Linked DNA regions of Ovis aries. The protein of the gene in region 1 interacts with the protein of each later gene in a biochemical or structural test. Links are inferred from orthologs where the notes say so. Each region holds a gene or a part of one and is shown in the gene's direction. Other genes may lie near its edges.

Region 1 (7,671 bases):
GTGGAGCTCTGCGGACGGGTAGGAGGCTCCCTGGGTTCCCAGCCCTGCCGAGGGCACCCTCTTCCCTGCCATCTCTCCCCTTTCTCACTGAGCGCTTGGTCTAGCTTCTGTGTCAAAAATCACATTTTCTTCACCAGGCTCTCTGCTCTCAGCTAGCACTTGCTGGAAGGAGGTAGGGGGTGCCAGGCAGAGGTCCCCAGTGTGGCCAGTCCGGGAGCCACACAGGTTTGAGTCAGGCTTACGACGTGACACGTCCTGGGGAGTACAGACTTCTTCCCGCGAGAAGGGCCCTTGGATAAAGGAGCAGCACTTGGTTGTGTCAGAAGTTGCCCTGACTTCCTCCTCGGGACACTGAGCCCGTAGGAAGGAACGGGTCCGAAGGGGCAAGTCTGAGGGCTGTGAATCCGATGCCGCTGAACAGTGTTGATTGTGAGGCCAGGCAGGGAGGCGGGGTGCCCCTGTGGACCTCGCTCAGGGGGAAGCCTGGGCCCCAAGGCCTTTTCCTGGACTTTTCCACCATCTGCCCAGTGAACTTGGGCAGGGAGCCTCCCCTCCATGTCGAAGCGTCTGTTTCTATAAATCGGTGCTGATGCCCCTTGTTCGAGGTGGGTGACCCCTTGTTCAGGCACAGGGATGTGAGCCACCACTCCACCCCTGCCCCCCGTTCCCCACGATCTCTGTCCTCGTGGGCGTAACCCTTGAGATCAAGGGCAAGTTAGAGGGGAGCGTGCCCCGGCTCGTCTCCACACGGGGGCCAGGCCAGGTCCCCTCAGGCCCCGTCGCATCTTGCCCTAGTTTCCAGTGGGGGAGACTGCAGCTTGGGGCCAGGTGACCTGCCCCAGGGCCACAGAGCTGGCGGGTGGCAGGCCTAGATCCTGGCCACAGACTCCCGAGGCCATGTCCCTTCTAGCCGGGCAGCTGAAGGTCCATGGTGAGGCTCAGGAGTCCCTGGCCGAGTCTGTCGGGGCTCAGCCTCAGCGTGGCTCTGTCTCCAGGAGAACGAGGTGAAGCACTTGGTGGAGCGGATGATGGCCCTGCAGACGGACATCGTGGACCTGCAGCGCAGCCCCATGGGCCGGAAGCAGGGCGGGACACTGGACGACCTGTGAGTGTGTGCATGTGCCTGCGCGCGGGCGGGCGCACGGGCGGGCTGTTCAAGCGCAGTTCCTCTGGAGCGCGCCCTCCTGTGCAGCCCGGTCCTGGGGAGGTCCTCTCGGCACATCTGGAAGCTGAGCCCGGGCAGACCTCCGTCCCTCTGAGCCTCACCTGAGACAGAAGAGCTGTCTGACCTCACAGTTGTGGGGACCAGTTCAGATAACGCCCCGAGCCATGGTTCGTGAACTCCAAAGCATCAGGTCAGATGCCCCTCTGCCCAGCATACCCCTGAGAAGCAGGAAGTAGGAAGGGAGGGAGCCAGGTAAGTCTTAGAAGGTGGAACCTTGACTCTTCATTTGAGTCGTGATCAGGACTTTGGCCTCAGCTCCAGGGACCCTCCCTGGGCAGAGCAGCCCCTCCTGCATTCCGGGAGCAGACGAGGGCACCAGGAGAGCCTCCCTGGGGCTCAGCTAGGCCTCTGATGCTTCTGCCAGGATTCTTAGAACCGGAGGCTCCAGTCTTTGAAATCTGATTATCTGTAGCCTGTATTTTGTCAAGTTAGTCAGTGTTTTATCTTACTCTGGTTTTCAAACAAAAGTCAGCCCCTGGAAACATCAGTCCATCTCACTGTGTTTGGGCCCTGGGGAGGGCATGTCTGCTCCTGGCTTGAGTTTCAGAGGCCACGTTCTCTGAACTCAGGACCCACACCTCTGAATTGCGGGGGCCAGGCGGGTGGGGAATGCTGAGGGACAGAGGAGGCTTCTGTCCTGAGGACTCTCAGGAAGTCTTGACCATGAGCTTTGAGTTGGCATTTCGACAGTGAGCCGGGTCTTCCTCTGTCATGGGTTTCGCCCGTGACATCCCCAGGGAGCGTGCTTGCCTCTGGCCAGGACGTGCTGCCTGCCCAGCTTCCAGAAGTTGCTGATGCTGCCGGCAGTAGCTCTGGCGCTGATGGAGCCGCTGCCTTGTGTGTTTCAGAGAAGAGCAGGCGCGGGAGCTTTACCGCAGGCTGAGGGAGAAACCGAGAGGTGAGTGGGCCGCCTCCCGGGTCCCCTACTGCCCGGGCACCAGACCGGCCCCCCACAGACCGTGCGGCTCCGTCCCGCTTTGCAGACCAGCGGACTGATGGTGACAGTCAGGAAATGGTGCGCCTGCTCCTCCAGGCAATCCAAGGCTTTGAGAAGAAAGTGCGAGTGATTTACACGCAGCTCAGGTATCAGGCCGCTGTCCCCTTGGAGGGTGGAATGAGGAGAGGCCCCATCCCCTCCCCTGGGCCCTGGAGGAGCTGCCAGCTGCAGTGGCCGAACAGAGTCATCCCCGCTGGGGCCCGCGTCCTGCTCCCCCTGACCTGGGCGCGCTGGAACTCATCGCACTTGGTCTTCACAGTAAGACCGTGGTCTGCAAGCAGAAGGCCCTGGAGCTGCTGCCCAAGGTGGAGGAGGTGGTCAGCCTGATGAGCGAGGATGAGAAGACGGTGGTGCGGCTGCAGGAGAAACGGCAGAAGGAGCTCTGGAACCTCCTGAAGATCGCGTGTGTGAGTGAGCCCCGGCGGGCCTGTCCTGGAGGCGGCAGGGTTGGTGTCCATGCATCAGCTGAGCCGGGCCCCTTCGGGAGGCTCAAGGGGAGAATCCCTCCTCGCCACTTCTCGGACGCCACTGGCTCCAGCACTCCTTGGCTTGCGGCAGCATCACTTCAGTCTCTGCCTCTGACCCCGTGTGGCCCTCTTCTCTAGTCTCTCCCTCTCTTTAAAGTTTGTTTCTTTTTGGTGGCACTGGGTCTCTGTGGCTGCAGCCGTGCTCTCTCTAGTTTGCGGTGAGCAGGGGCTGCGCCCGAGTCAGCGGCGCGCAGGCTTCCCATCACGATGGCTTCTCTGGTTGCGGAGCACGGGCTCCAGGGTGCGCGGGCTTAGCCGCTCTACCGCACGTGGAGTCTTCCTGGACCAGGGGCTGAACCCGTGTCCCCTGCACAGGCAGGCAGACTGTCATCCGCTGTACCACCAGGGAAGTCCTCTACTGTGTCTCTTGTAAAAACACTTGTCCCTGGGTTTAGGTCCCACCCAGATAATCCAGAGTGATCTCATCACAGGATCCTTAGCTACATCTGCAAAGGTGCTTTTTCGAAACGAGGTCACACCCCAGGTTCCTGGAGACCTGCGTGCAGCCCCTGAGCCGTGTGCCTGCTGGGCCCTGAGCCAGGCCTGTGCCGTGCAGCGCTGAGCCTGCTCTGCGAGTGCCCACCATCCCAATGTGGCTGTGATCCCACTGAGTGCTGCTCAGAGAGAAACCGCAGCACAGAAGAGACTGGAGAAGAGCCAAGAAAAGCTTGGAATCGAGCTGGCAGGCAGCAGGGAGGCTGAGGAGGCTGATGGCAGAGCTGCTTGGCCACGGGCTAGGGAGGCCTGCTGCTCCAGGTGCGCCAGCTGCCGCAGCCCAGAAAACACCTCGGCCTCTTCTGCTCCCCAGGTGGCGCAAGTCACGGGAAGTCACCTAGGACCTTCTTGTGTTTCTCTTCTTGGGAAGATTAAACACACCTTCCTTCTCGTTTCCTTGTAAGGGTTTGTTGAGCAATCCAACTAATGAGATAGAAGCCTTAGGGCCTTCCCTGGTGGTCCAGTGGTAAAGAATCCACCTTCCAGCACGGGACGAGGGTTTGTTCACTGGTCAGGAAACTAAGATCCCACATGCCACAGGGCAACTAAGCCCTCCTGCCACAACGAGAGAAGCCTGTAACTGCAATCAAGAGCCTGCAGAGCCAAAAAACACAAAATTAATGGCCAGTGGTTGATGAAAAAAAAAAAGAAATAGAACCCTTAAATTTCTCTGTATTTAGAACCCCCAAAATTTAAAATTAAATGGCCAATGGTTGATTAAAAAAAAAGAGAGAGAACCCTCAGATCTCTCTGTTTAGAACCCTCAATCAGAAAGTTACACCTGCAGATCAGAAGCAGTTTCTAAGCTGAAACGCAAAGCATCAGACGGCGATGTTGCCTGATTTCTGCAGGAAGAGCATGTGTCTCGTGGCCAGGTGTCTTCATGAGAAAACACCCTGCCGCGGAAGCAGAGTCTCAGTCATCCCTCTGCCCCTAGACCGCTGACTCTCGTTCTGGTTTTGCCCTCTAGAGCAAGGTCCGGGGTCCCGTCAGCGGGAGCCCGGACAGCATGAACGCCTCCCGCCTGAGTCACCCCAGCCAGCTGATGTCGCAGCCCTGCGCGGCTCCTGACAGCTTGCCCGAGGCTGCCGAGAAGAGGTGAGTCCTCATCCGCGGTGTCCAGTGCTGAAGTCCGGGGCGCGTCAGGAGGTCGTGGGCGTGGAAGCACGGGTCTCCTGGTGGCGGCGCCATGCACGCCCCTTGGTATCTGTCCCCCGTGCCGGGCACCGTGGGCGTGGATGTGGTGTGTTGCTCACAGCACTGCTTGTGGCCTGCCCAGCCAGGTGTCCTTATCTGAGGCCGAGTTGCTCTTGCTGGATGGGAGCCTTCCGTCCAGTGCTGGCCAGCCCTGTGCTGTCCCCTCATCCATCCCCTGCTATCTGCTCACAGAAGCAGGTCCCTGAGGGTGTCCTCTGGCCACCGCGCCCCAGTCACACATTGCCGGTCCGTCCTGTGGTCCCTCCTCCCCCCACCCCCCGCTCACCCCTCGCCGCCCTGCCTGTTGCGCACGCCCCTGCTGCAGAGCTGAGAGTGCAGCCTCAGAGCCCTTCCCATGAGGTTTTCCCTCTCTGCTTCCAGCCTAGTGCTGCCCCCAGGCCCCCTCTGGTCAAATCCGTCTTCATGGGAGACTGTTTTGATCGAGTTATTCTCCTGGATACTCAGGGACCAGCCATGGCAGCCAGCTGCCTCGGGGCCAAGGCTGAGCCTTTCCCAGCCTCCAAGCGTCCTCTCCAGGCTCACCCCCACTCCCAGGCAGCTCCTGGCTCTGCCCGAGGGTCTTGGAGCCCGGTCCAGACCAACAGCATCAGTGGGTTCTGGGCTCTCACTGGACATGCAGGTTCGGGATCGGCAACCCCGGGTAACCAGGCCGGGCCGACCCCCCTGCATCCTGGCGCCCCGGGTCCTTGGCTCTGCTGACGCCCTCCCTGGGGTGTCTTCCCTCCGCCCTGGCCCTGCCTCCCACCCCCTCCACGGCCCAGACACACACGCACAGATCTCTGTTCCCGAGACACCCGTGCGGCTTTTTGTTTCTGGCTCAGCCTCACACCCATTCTTCAGGGCCTTCCCTTGCTGGGCCCCAGGCGCTGGAGACGGTGAAGACTGATTCCCAAGGGCAGGTCTACAGACTAGAGAGGAGACCTGGTTGCTGAGGGAGAGCAGTGACTGACAGCGGGTACAGGGTTTCCCCTTGGGTGATGAAACGGTCGAGGACCAGACCTCTGCGATGGTTGCACGACGCTGTAAGTGCACCAGAAGCGTGTGGTCGTGCACCTTACACGGGTGAACTTTATGGTTTGTGAATATATCTCAGTAAAGCTGTTTTCAAGAAGTCCTGTTCCTGTACTTGGGGAGTTTGTATTCTCTATTGTTGTGGGTTTTTTTTTTTCTATTTCTCTTTTGGCCTCTTGGCTTGCAGAATGTATTTCCCTGAGCAGGGACTGAACCTGGGCCCTCGGCAGTGAAAGTGCAGAATCCTAACCACTGGACCACCAGAGAATTCTCCGTGTTGGATTCTTAATTCTCTCCCCAACTTCCAGTTAGCTCCTTGAGGGTGGTAACCGGGTCCGGGGCTCTGGGGCCAGCCCAGAGCCTGGTGCCTGGGCAGTGGCCAGGCAGTGGATGAGTCTGGGCTCTGCTCCTCCCACTAGCGCCCCCTTTGCGGTGAGAGGAGGAACTGCGGGGCCCTTCCTGTTGGGTTTGTCCCCGCTCTAGGAAAGGCGTCCTGGGGGCTCAGGTTGCCATCTGTCTGCCCACGTCCTGGAGCTGAGGTTAGAACAAGACAGATGGCTTGCTTTGCTCTCGCCTTTCTCAGCCACGGCCTGTTCTCGGGACGTGTGCATTTCTTATCGTAGAGAAGGTGGGACGTGTGCATTTCTCATAGGAAAGGCGAGAGTGCAGCAGATGAATTAGTTCCTAGAACACGCTGCTCCCAGTCTGAGAGCTGAGGACACCTGGGGAATTCTCGCGGTCTGTATACCTTTATCAGTTTCAAGAACTGTGAAACAGGTGATCTGGGAGAGATTTTCAGATTGTGGCAGTTTAGAGAGAGCCTAAGAAATCCCTTTGGCTCTGAACTTTTTTATTAGGCCAGACCTCTGCTTTCTCATGTTGTGAATGGCGATGCTCACGGCTGGGTTTGAGCTTCCATAACAGTGCTCAAGAAGAACAGATGAAAATTGCCGAGGCAGTGTCATATATTTTAAGACACTCAGTATCAGAATAATCGTTCAATTTTTAAAATCTTTCCAGAAGCCCTTTAGCATACTTGTACATAGTAATATATTTCTTTTGAAAAGTTCACACTGACCACGTTCTAATAATCCAGTCGTTTTCTTTAGTGACGACCTGGTGGCTGAAGCTCACACCCTGTGCACCCAGCTGGAGAACGCCCTGCAGGACACCATGAAGGAGCAGGACCAGAGTTTGAGGGTAATGGCCCACGGGGAGCCCCGCTGCTCCACACCTTTTCTTTTCTGCAGCAAACGAGAAGCTGAGAGAGAGGCGACGCCCTGCCGCCTTGATCTCAGTGTACACTTGGGATTTTCTGGTACAACCTTCATATTCATCATGATAACAGGGCTGACGACTGTTGAACGAGCACAGGTACCTTACGTGCTCTGTCTCCTCTCATCCTCACTGTGCTTGGTCCTTATGAGGCCGGTAGCATCCCTGGGAGAAGGCCTCTCTCCCGCTCTTCCCTTCTGTGCAGTTGCTGGGCATGCGTGTGAGAGGTGCGGTGCTGGGCTCCAGGGACAAAGCTGTCACCACCCCATCTCTCAGGGACTCGGAGCTTAGGGACTCAGCAAGCCCAGCTCTAGGGAAGCTGATCTAAAGAAAAATGAGTCCAGGTGCAGAGACATCGAGGCAAAGCTGAACTTTCTGAGAGGATGCTTAATTGTTCGCTTGGGTCTTTTAATGGCCATTTCCTCCAATACAGTCCCGCACTAGCGTTGCCGAAACTTCTCGGTTTGGGGAAGGATCGGAGGGGTCACTGCCAATGGTAATCACCTCTTATTTCTTCAAGTGCCATCCTGCTGTTTGGGGCTTTCCGTGTCTCCTCCTTGGTACTCTTCCTCCTCTGGGCCCTGTATGTTTCGACCCTTGCACTGCCTATGTGCTTCTGCCAGAGGGAAAGGAAGTCTGGCCAGGCGGTTCCACCTGGTTAGCCTGGAGCTGGAGAACTAAGACGAGCCCTGGGCACCTGGGTGTTCAGTGAGCATAGGTCAGTGCTGTGAGCTGCAGGAATCACACTTAAATCGCTTGGCCAGAGTCTCCAGGGGCTCTCCAGGGGCCAGGGGCTCCACGCCCATCTGAAGATAAGCTCCTGCACGGTCTTGAAGACATAGCTCCAGCTCTGGGGTCCCTTGCAGAAACTCGACTGTCAATGAAAGGCTCTAGCCTTCCTTCTAAATCATGCTGGTTGCCTC
Region 2 (7,671 bases), on another chromosome or scaffold:
ATGAGTTCCTTCAACTTTTGTGTAGTGGAAAGCATGTATTTTTGTCTCTGTCTTTGAAAAATATGTTGGCTGGGTTAAAGAATTCTAGGTTGACAACCTGTCTTTGAGTACTTGAAAGAAGCGGCTGTGCTGTGTTCTCTTGCATTATTTCCTTTGTGAAATCTGCTGTCATGCTTATTTTTATTCCTCTGCACTTAAGGTATCTTTTCCTCTGACTGCTTTGAAGGTATTTACCTTTATTGTTGGTTTTGAACAGAGTTTCCATGTTGGGCCCTGGTGTGTGTGTGTGTGTGTGTGTGTGTGTGTGTGTGTGTACATGTTGGGCCCTGGTGTGTGTGTGTGTGTATGCATGTTGGGCCCTGGTGTGTGTGTGTGTGTGTGTGTGTGTGTGCATGCGCATGTTGGGCCCTGGTGTGTGTGTGTGTGTGTGTGTGTGTGTGTGTGCTAAGTCGCTTCCGCTGTACCTGCCTCTTTGCGACCCTATGGACTATGGCCCACCAGGCTCTTCTGTCCGTGGGATTCTCCAGGCAAGAACCCTGGAGTGGGTTGCCATGCCCTCCTCCAGGAGATCTTCTGACCCAGGGATCAGACTTGTGTCTCCTGCGACTCCTGCATTGGCAGGCAGGTTCTTTACTGCTGAGCCACCGGGGAAGCCCCATGCTTACCTCAGTTACAGATATATCGGGCTGCTTATATACAGATAAATCCCATGGCTCACTGACGTTCTTTCTATTTTTAAATATTTCTCTTTGTGTTTCATTTTGGACAGTTGCTATTGTGAAGTCCTGACGTTTGCTAATCTATTTTCTGCAATATGTAATCTGTTGTTAATGCCATCCAGCATATTTTTCATTTTAGGTGCTGTAAGGTTTTGTTTTTTTTTTAATGTTTATTTATTTGTCTGCACCAGGTCTTAGTTGCAGCGTGTGGGATCTAGCTCCCTGATCAGCGATTGAACCTTAGCCCCCTGCATTGGGAGCACAGAGTCTTAGCCGCTGGACCACCAGGGAAGTCCCTGTGTCGATTTTTTTGGTGGATTTGAGATGGGCATGAAACCTGGTCCGTGTTACTTCTTGGGAGAGAGTAGAAGTCCTACTTAGTAAACATTGGAGACCTCCCTGGTGGTCTAGTGGTTAAGACTCCATGCTTCCACTGCAGGGGGCGAGGATTCCATCCCTGATTAGGGACCTAAGATCCCATATGCGGCCAAAAACAAAAACAGAAAAATGAAATAAAACACCAAAGAAACAAAAAGTACCAAACCAAACCAAAGCAAAACAAAAAAACACATTGATTAAATAAATTTGCTGAGTTAACTCTGACCTGACCCTCCCAGATTCCTGACGGCTGGTTCTAGAGCTGTGGGTCATCACGCTTTGCACAGTGGGTCCTCCATGTTTGCTGAAGGAATGAATGCAAGAGTGCTTGTCCTCATAAGAAGGAAAACAAACAAACAACCCCTCCACCCACCAAAGAAAAAATCCCCAGTTCAGTTCAGTTGCTCAGTCGTGTCCGACTCTTCGCAACCCTATGAATTGCACCACGCCAGGCCTCCCTGTCCATCACCAACTCCTGGAGTTCACTCAAACTCATGTCCACAGAGTTGGTGATGCCATCCAGCCATCTCATCCTCTCGACCCCTTCTCCTCCTGCTCCTAATCCCTCCCAGCATCAGGGTCTTTTCCAATGAGTCAACTCTTCGCATGAGGTGGCCAAAGCATTGGAGTTTCGGCTTTAGCATCAGTCCTTCCAATGAACACCCAGGACTGAGCCTCTTTAGGAAGGACTGGTTGGACCTCCTTGTAGTCCAAGGGACTCTTAAGAGTCTTCTCTAACACCACAATTCAAAAGCATCAATTCTTCGGCACTCAGCTTTCTTCACTGTCCAACATTCATATCCATACATGACCACTGGAAAACCATAGCCTTGACTAGACAGACCTTTGTTGGCAAAGTAATGTCTCTGCTTTTGAATATGCTATCTAGGTTGGTCATAACTTTCCTTCCAAGGACTAAAGTGAAAGTGAAGTTGTTCAGTCATGTCCGACTCTTTGTGACCCTGTGGACTGTAGCCCACCAAGCTCCTCTGTCCATGGAATTCTCAAGGAAAGAATACTGGAGCAGGTTGCCATTTCCTTCTCCAGGGGATCTTCCCGACCCAGGGATCGAACCCGGGTCTCTTGCATTGCAGGCAGACGCTTTACACTCTGAGCCACCAGGGAAGCCAATTTCCTGGCTGCAATCACCATCTGCAGTGATTTTGGAGCCCCAAAAATGAAGTCTGACACTGTTTCCCCATCTATTTCCCATGAAGTGATGGGAACAGATGCCAATATCTTAGGTTTCTGAATGTTGAGCTTTAAGCCAACATTTTCACTCTCCTCTTTCACTTTCATCAAGAGGCTTTTTTGTTCCTCTTCACTTTCTGCCATAAGGGTGGTGTCATCTGCATATCTGAGGTTATTGATATTTCTCCCGGCAATCTTGATTCCAGCTTGTGCTTCTTCCAGCCCAGCGTTTCTCATGATGTACTCTGCATACAAGTTAAATACGCAGGGTGACAGTACACAGTCTTGATGTACTCCTTTTCCTATTTGGAACCAGTCTGTTGTTCCATGTCCAATTCTAACTGTTGCTTCCTGACCTGCATATAGGTTTCTCAAGAGACAGGTCAGGTGGTCTGGTATTCCCATCTCTTTCAGAATTTTCCACAGTTTATTGTGATCCACATAGTCAAAGGCTTTGGCATAGTCAATAAAGCAGAAATAGATGTTTTTCTGGAACTCTCTTGCTTTTTCGATGATCCAGCAGATGTTGGCAATTTGATCTCTGGTTCCTCTGCCTTTTCTAAAACCAGCTTGAACATCTGGAAGTTCACGGTTCACATATTGCTGAAGCCTGGCTTGGAGAATTTTGAGCATTACTTTACTAGCGTGTGAGATGAGTGCAATTGTGCGGTAGTTTGAGCATTCTTTGGCATTGCCTTTCTTTGGGATTGGAATGAAAACTGACCTTTTCCAGTCCTGTGGCCACTGCTGAGTTTTCCAAACTTGCTGGCATATTGAGTGCAGCACTTTCACAGCATCCTCTTTCAGGATTTGAAAGAGCTCAACTGGATTTCCATCACCTCCACTAGCTTTGTTCATAGTGATTCTTTCTAAGGCCCACTTGACTTCACGTTCCAGGATGTCTGGCTCTCGGTGAATGATCACACCATCGTGATTATCTTGGTTGTGAAGATCTTTTTGTACAGTTCTTCTGTGTATTCTTGCCACCTCTTCTTAATATCTTCTGCTTCTGTTAGGTCCATACCATTTCTGTCCTTTATCAAGCCCATCTTTGCATGAAATGTTCCCTTGGTATCTCTAATTTTCTTGAAGAGATCTCTAGTCTTTCCCATTTTGTTGTTTTCCTCTATTTCTTTGCATTGATTGCTGAAGAAGGCTTTCTTGTCTCTCCTTGCTATTCTTTGGAACTCTGCATTCAGATGCTTATATCTTTCCTTTTCTCCTTTGCTTTTTGCCTCTCCTTTTCACAGCTATTTGTAAGGCCTCCTCAGACAGCCATTTTGCTTTTTTGCATTTCTTTTCCATATGGGTGGTCTTGATCCCTGTCTTCTGTACAATGTCACAAACCTCCGTCCATAGTTCATCAGGCACTCTATCTATCAGATCTAGTCCCTTAAATCTATTTCTCATTTCCACTGTATAATCATAAGGGATTTGATTTAGGTCATACCTGAATGGTCTACTGGTTTTCCCTACTTTCTTCAATTTAAGTCTGAATTTGGCAGTAAGGAGTTCATGATCTGAGCCACAGTCAGCTCCCAGTCTTGTTTTTGCTGACTGTATAGAGCTTCTCTATCTTTGGCCTCAGAGAATATAATCAATCTGATTTCGGTGTTGACCATCTGCTGATGTCCATGTGTAGAGTCTTCACTTGTGTTGTTGGAAGAGGGTGTTCGCTATGACCAGTGTGTTCTCTTGGCAAAACTCTGTTAGCCTTTGCCCTGCTTCATTCCGCATTCCAAGGCCAAATTTTCCTGTTACTCCAAGTTTTTCTTGACTTCCTGCGTTTGCATTCCAGTCCCCTATAATGAAAAAGACATCTTTTTTGGGTGTTAGTGCAGAAGGTCTTGTAGGTCTTCATAGAACCATTCAACTTCAGCTTCTTCAGCGTTACTGGTTGGAGCATAGGCTTGGATTACCATGGTATTGAATGGTTAGCCTTGGAAATGAAAGCAAGCAAACCATAAAAAGAATACTTGACCTCTGCCTTCTGACCCTGGTCCTTGTTCTCAGGGCACTGCACTTGGCGGTGATTCATCAGCATGAGCCCTTCCTGGACTTCCTCCTAGGCTTTGCAGCTGGTACCGAGTACCTGGACCTGCAGAATGACTTGGGCCAGGTGAGCCGCCTGTGGACAGCGTAGGGCTTGGGGGCCAGGATTCTCAGTATGGCCCCTCACCCCTACCTTCTGCTCCTGCAGACGGCCCTGCACCTGGCAGCCATCCTGGAGGAGGCGTCCGCGGTAGAGAAGCTGTATGCAGCAGGTGCCAATTTGCTGGTGGCGGAGCGTGGAGGCCACACGGCGCTGCACCTGTCCTGCCGCGTGGGGGCCCACGCCTGCGCTCGCGTGCTGCTCCAGCCTCGCCCCCAGCACTCCAGGGGAGCCCCCAAGACCTACCTCGCTCAGGGCTCTGACCATACCCCTGACACCGACCACACCCCTATTGCCCTGTACTCTGAACCTGACGTGGAGAAAGAAGAGGATGAGAGTGAAGAGGACTGGAAACTGCAGCTGGAGGCTGAAAACTATGAGGGTGAGGGTCCCCAGTCACCGTGAAGGGCCCAGGCTCCCAAGAAGAGCGGGGACAGCTGGCTCTGGGCTCAGCTCTCCTGATGCAGAGCTTGGCTCCTTGGGAAATAATCCCAGGAATAATAATAATACTCAAGGGACCCAGGCATCAGAACCAAGGATGCCTGCTCAGCGCCAGGTTGTTGAGAACCATAGGCCCCAGCCCACCTGGGACAAGGGAACTCAAAAGCCAGGCCCTCTGAAACTCTGGCGACTCAGGTTCCCAGAGGCTGATAGTGGGATTCAGGGACAGCTGTCCTCAGCCAGACCTCATGGGAAAATAGATTCTGTCTACCCAGGGCCCTCCCCCATCTCTAAGCCCAACTATTCAGTACTTGGGACCAGACCCCCACCACAGGTGGAAGGTCAGGATCCAGGGTTCAAGGACCACCTCAACCCCCCAAGGACATGGACCCAGGAATTTTGGAACCTGGTTCTTTGTGAAGTAAGACCAGAGACTCAGGTCCCCTGTCCAAAGCTCCTGGGCTCTTCACCCCTAGGCCCCAGACAACCCCACAACCCAGGCGTTGGTACTGCCAGCAAGTTCCAGATCACCTGAGACTTAAGGGATTTGGAATACAGGGCCTCTTTGATGTACCCAGGAATGCAGAAGTCAGACCCCAAAGTCCATCAACCTCAGGTTACAAAGCCCTGCCCAAAGATGGTGGCATTGGGGGCCCAGTGCCCTCCCCTCCATCATCTGACATCGGTCACTCTGTCCCTAGGCCACACCCCACTCCACGTGGCTGTCATCCACAAAGATGCAGAGATGGTCCGACTGCTCCAGGAGGCAGGAGCTGACCTCAACAAGCCCGTGAGCCACCCTACGGAGAAGGTGTGGCAGGGTGGGGGCTCATCCCCGCGTTGGGCAGGGCCCCAGTGACCTCTCTGCTGCACCCCTTAGGAGCCCACCTGCGGCCGAAGCCCCCTGCACTTGGCCGTGGAGGCCCAAGCAGCTGATGTACTGGAGCTTCTCCTGAAGGCCGGTGCTGACCCCGCTGTCCGCATGTATGGTGGCCGCACCCCACTCGGCAGTGCCACGCTTCGGCCCAACGCCATCCTTGCCCGCCTCCTCCGTGCTCACGGAGCCCCAGAGCCCGAGGACGAGGACAAGCCTGGCCCCTGCAGCAGCAGCAGCAGCAGCAGCAGCAGCGACAGCGAGAGCGGGGATGAGGGCGTGAGTCAGGAGAGAGTGGGTGGCCCAGCTGGGAGGTCAGGGTGAAAGCGGGCAGGTGGAAGGGGGAGAGGAGACACTAGGCAGCTCACTGAGAGCCACTGACGTCGGGGCTGCTCTGATTAGAGAACTCAGGCAGCCGTGCCGGTGGTATCAGGGGAGACCTGGACAGGGGTGGTGGGGAGAGCTCGGGCACCGGCAGGTGAGAAGTGAAGGCAGTGGCAGAGGCAGAACTCAGGCAGAGAGAGAGATAAGACCTCAGTCATAGTGGTTGGTAAACGCAGGCAGCAGAGGATGGCCGCAGGAGGTTTTTTTTCAGGGAGCAAGAGCGGGAGAACGCAGGCTGCGGGAAGGTGACCTTGGGCAGCAGTGATTCGAACACTGGCAGCGGTGGGGAACGACCTCAGCCAGCGGTGAAGGGGCTTCCTTGGAGAACCCAGGCAGCGAGACATGACTGTGGACAGGGGTTGTCACTGACTGGCAGGGGTTGAGGAATTTGGATAAAGGCAGGAGGAAGTGGGGCAGAGGGGGAGACCTCCCTGTGGCGGCTGAAGGACTGGAGAGGCCGCAGGGCCGGGAGAACACAGGTGACCTTGGAAGAGGTGGTGAGAGAACTAGGAGCTGGGATTTAGACTTAGGAGCGGGGACCTCGGGCTTCGACGCAGCACCGGGTTCCCACAGTGGGTGGGGGAGCTTGGGCAGCGGGCGAGGTGGCAGCTGCCTGAGCCCCTCTGCCCGGCCCCTCTGCCCCCAGGATGAATACGACGACATCGTAGTCCACAGTGGCCGGAGCCCCAGCCAGCTACCTCCCACCCCAGCGTCAAAACCGCTCCCTGACGACCCCATCTGACTTAGCTGTTAATAGTTTCCAATTTAATAAAATGTCAGTTCCGACAACCAGTGACTAGATAAGCGGTTGCCTTGCCAGGCCTCCAGGTCGTTCCTGAGCCCGTCCCTCTGAAATCAAGTGCGACGCCATCAGCCTTGGTGGTTTTCTCTGTGCTTTATTCACTCGGGGTCGGGGGTTGGAGCGGGTTAGGGCATCCGGGCTGTGTCCTGAGTCAGGCGGAGCCCAGCCCCTCCACCCAGCTCAGACTTGGCCCCTGAGGCCTGGTTTCAAGGCACACCCTTCTCCCCACTCCTGCCGGTTGGGGAGCAGGGTGGGGTGACAGGTTGGGGTCAACGGTACTAAGCCGTATAGGGTGTGTGGGGGAGGAGGACGTGCGGTCGGGTCAGCCCCCCCTCCTGAGCTCCTCTCGCAGCACCTCCGTCGCCTTCTTCAGCTCATCGCTCATGTGCTCCAGCCGCTCCACGTCGTGCCCCTGGCGGCAACAGAAGCGGGGTCTCAGCACCCACCTTCAAAGGCAGGCCACCTCAGTGGCTGTCCACAGATGTGGGCCAGGTCAGTTCACACAGTGGCAACCGCAGCGGTCTCCCCGGTCGTCGTGGACTACGACAGTGACCCTGGAAGAGTCACGTGGGCTAACATGGCCAGCGGTGAGGCCTACATTGTCTGCCATAGCCAGTGGGGCGGACAGAGGACTAGCAAAGGCGCTCAGCTTGCACGCCGTGACCCGCCTGTGAGGTGAGGGCCGTTTCTGTCACTGCTGTTGATCATGTGACAGCTCTGCTTTCCACGA

The links. The genes of interacting proteins can lie anywhere in the genome.
Region 2: of the proteins of IKBKB (region 1) and NFKBIB, one has a biochemical effect on the other in vitro, tested with the Homo sapiens proteins (2 studies listed by BioGRID). The link is inferred for Ovis aries from reciprocal best matches to the Homo sapiens genes IKBKB and NFKBIB.

What each region holds. Positions count from the first base shown.
Region 1 is NC_056079.1:36,496,832-36,504,502, forward strand, and holds part of IKBKB (inhibitor of nuclear factor kappa-B kinase subunit beta), read left to right. Parts: coding exon 1-18; intron 19-995; coding exon 996-1,105; intron 1,106-2,073; coding exon 2,074-2,123; intron 2,124-2,208; coding exon 2,209-2,308; intron 2,309-2,481; coding exon 2,482-2,629; intron 2,630-4,214; coding exon 4,215-4,342; intron 4,343-5,667; exon of another isoform or gene 5,668-5,740; intron 5,741-6,582; coding exon 6,583-7,039; 3' UTR 7,040-7,671.
Region 2 is NC_056067.1:47,987,373-47,995,043, forward strand, and holds the end of NFKBIB (NF-kappa-B inhibitor beta), read left to right. Parts: intron 1-4,301; coding exon 4,302-4,407; intron 4,408-4,488; coding exon 4,489-4,822; intron 4,823-5,582; coding exon 5,583-5,671; intron 5,672-5,761; coding exon 5,762-6,034; intron 6,035-6,785; coding exon 6,786-6,881; 3' UTR 6,882-6,928; downstream 6,929-7,671. Other genes in the region: CCER2 (coiled-coil domain-containing glutamate-rich protein 2), read right to left, coding at 7,264-7,353. UniProt on the Homo sapiens protein: Inhibits NF-kappa-B by complexing with and trapping it in the cytoplasm.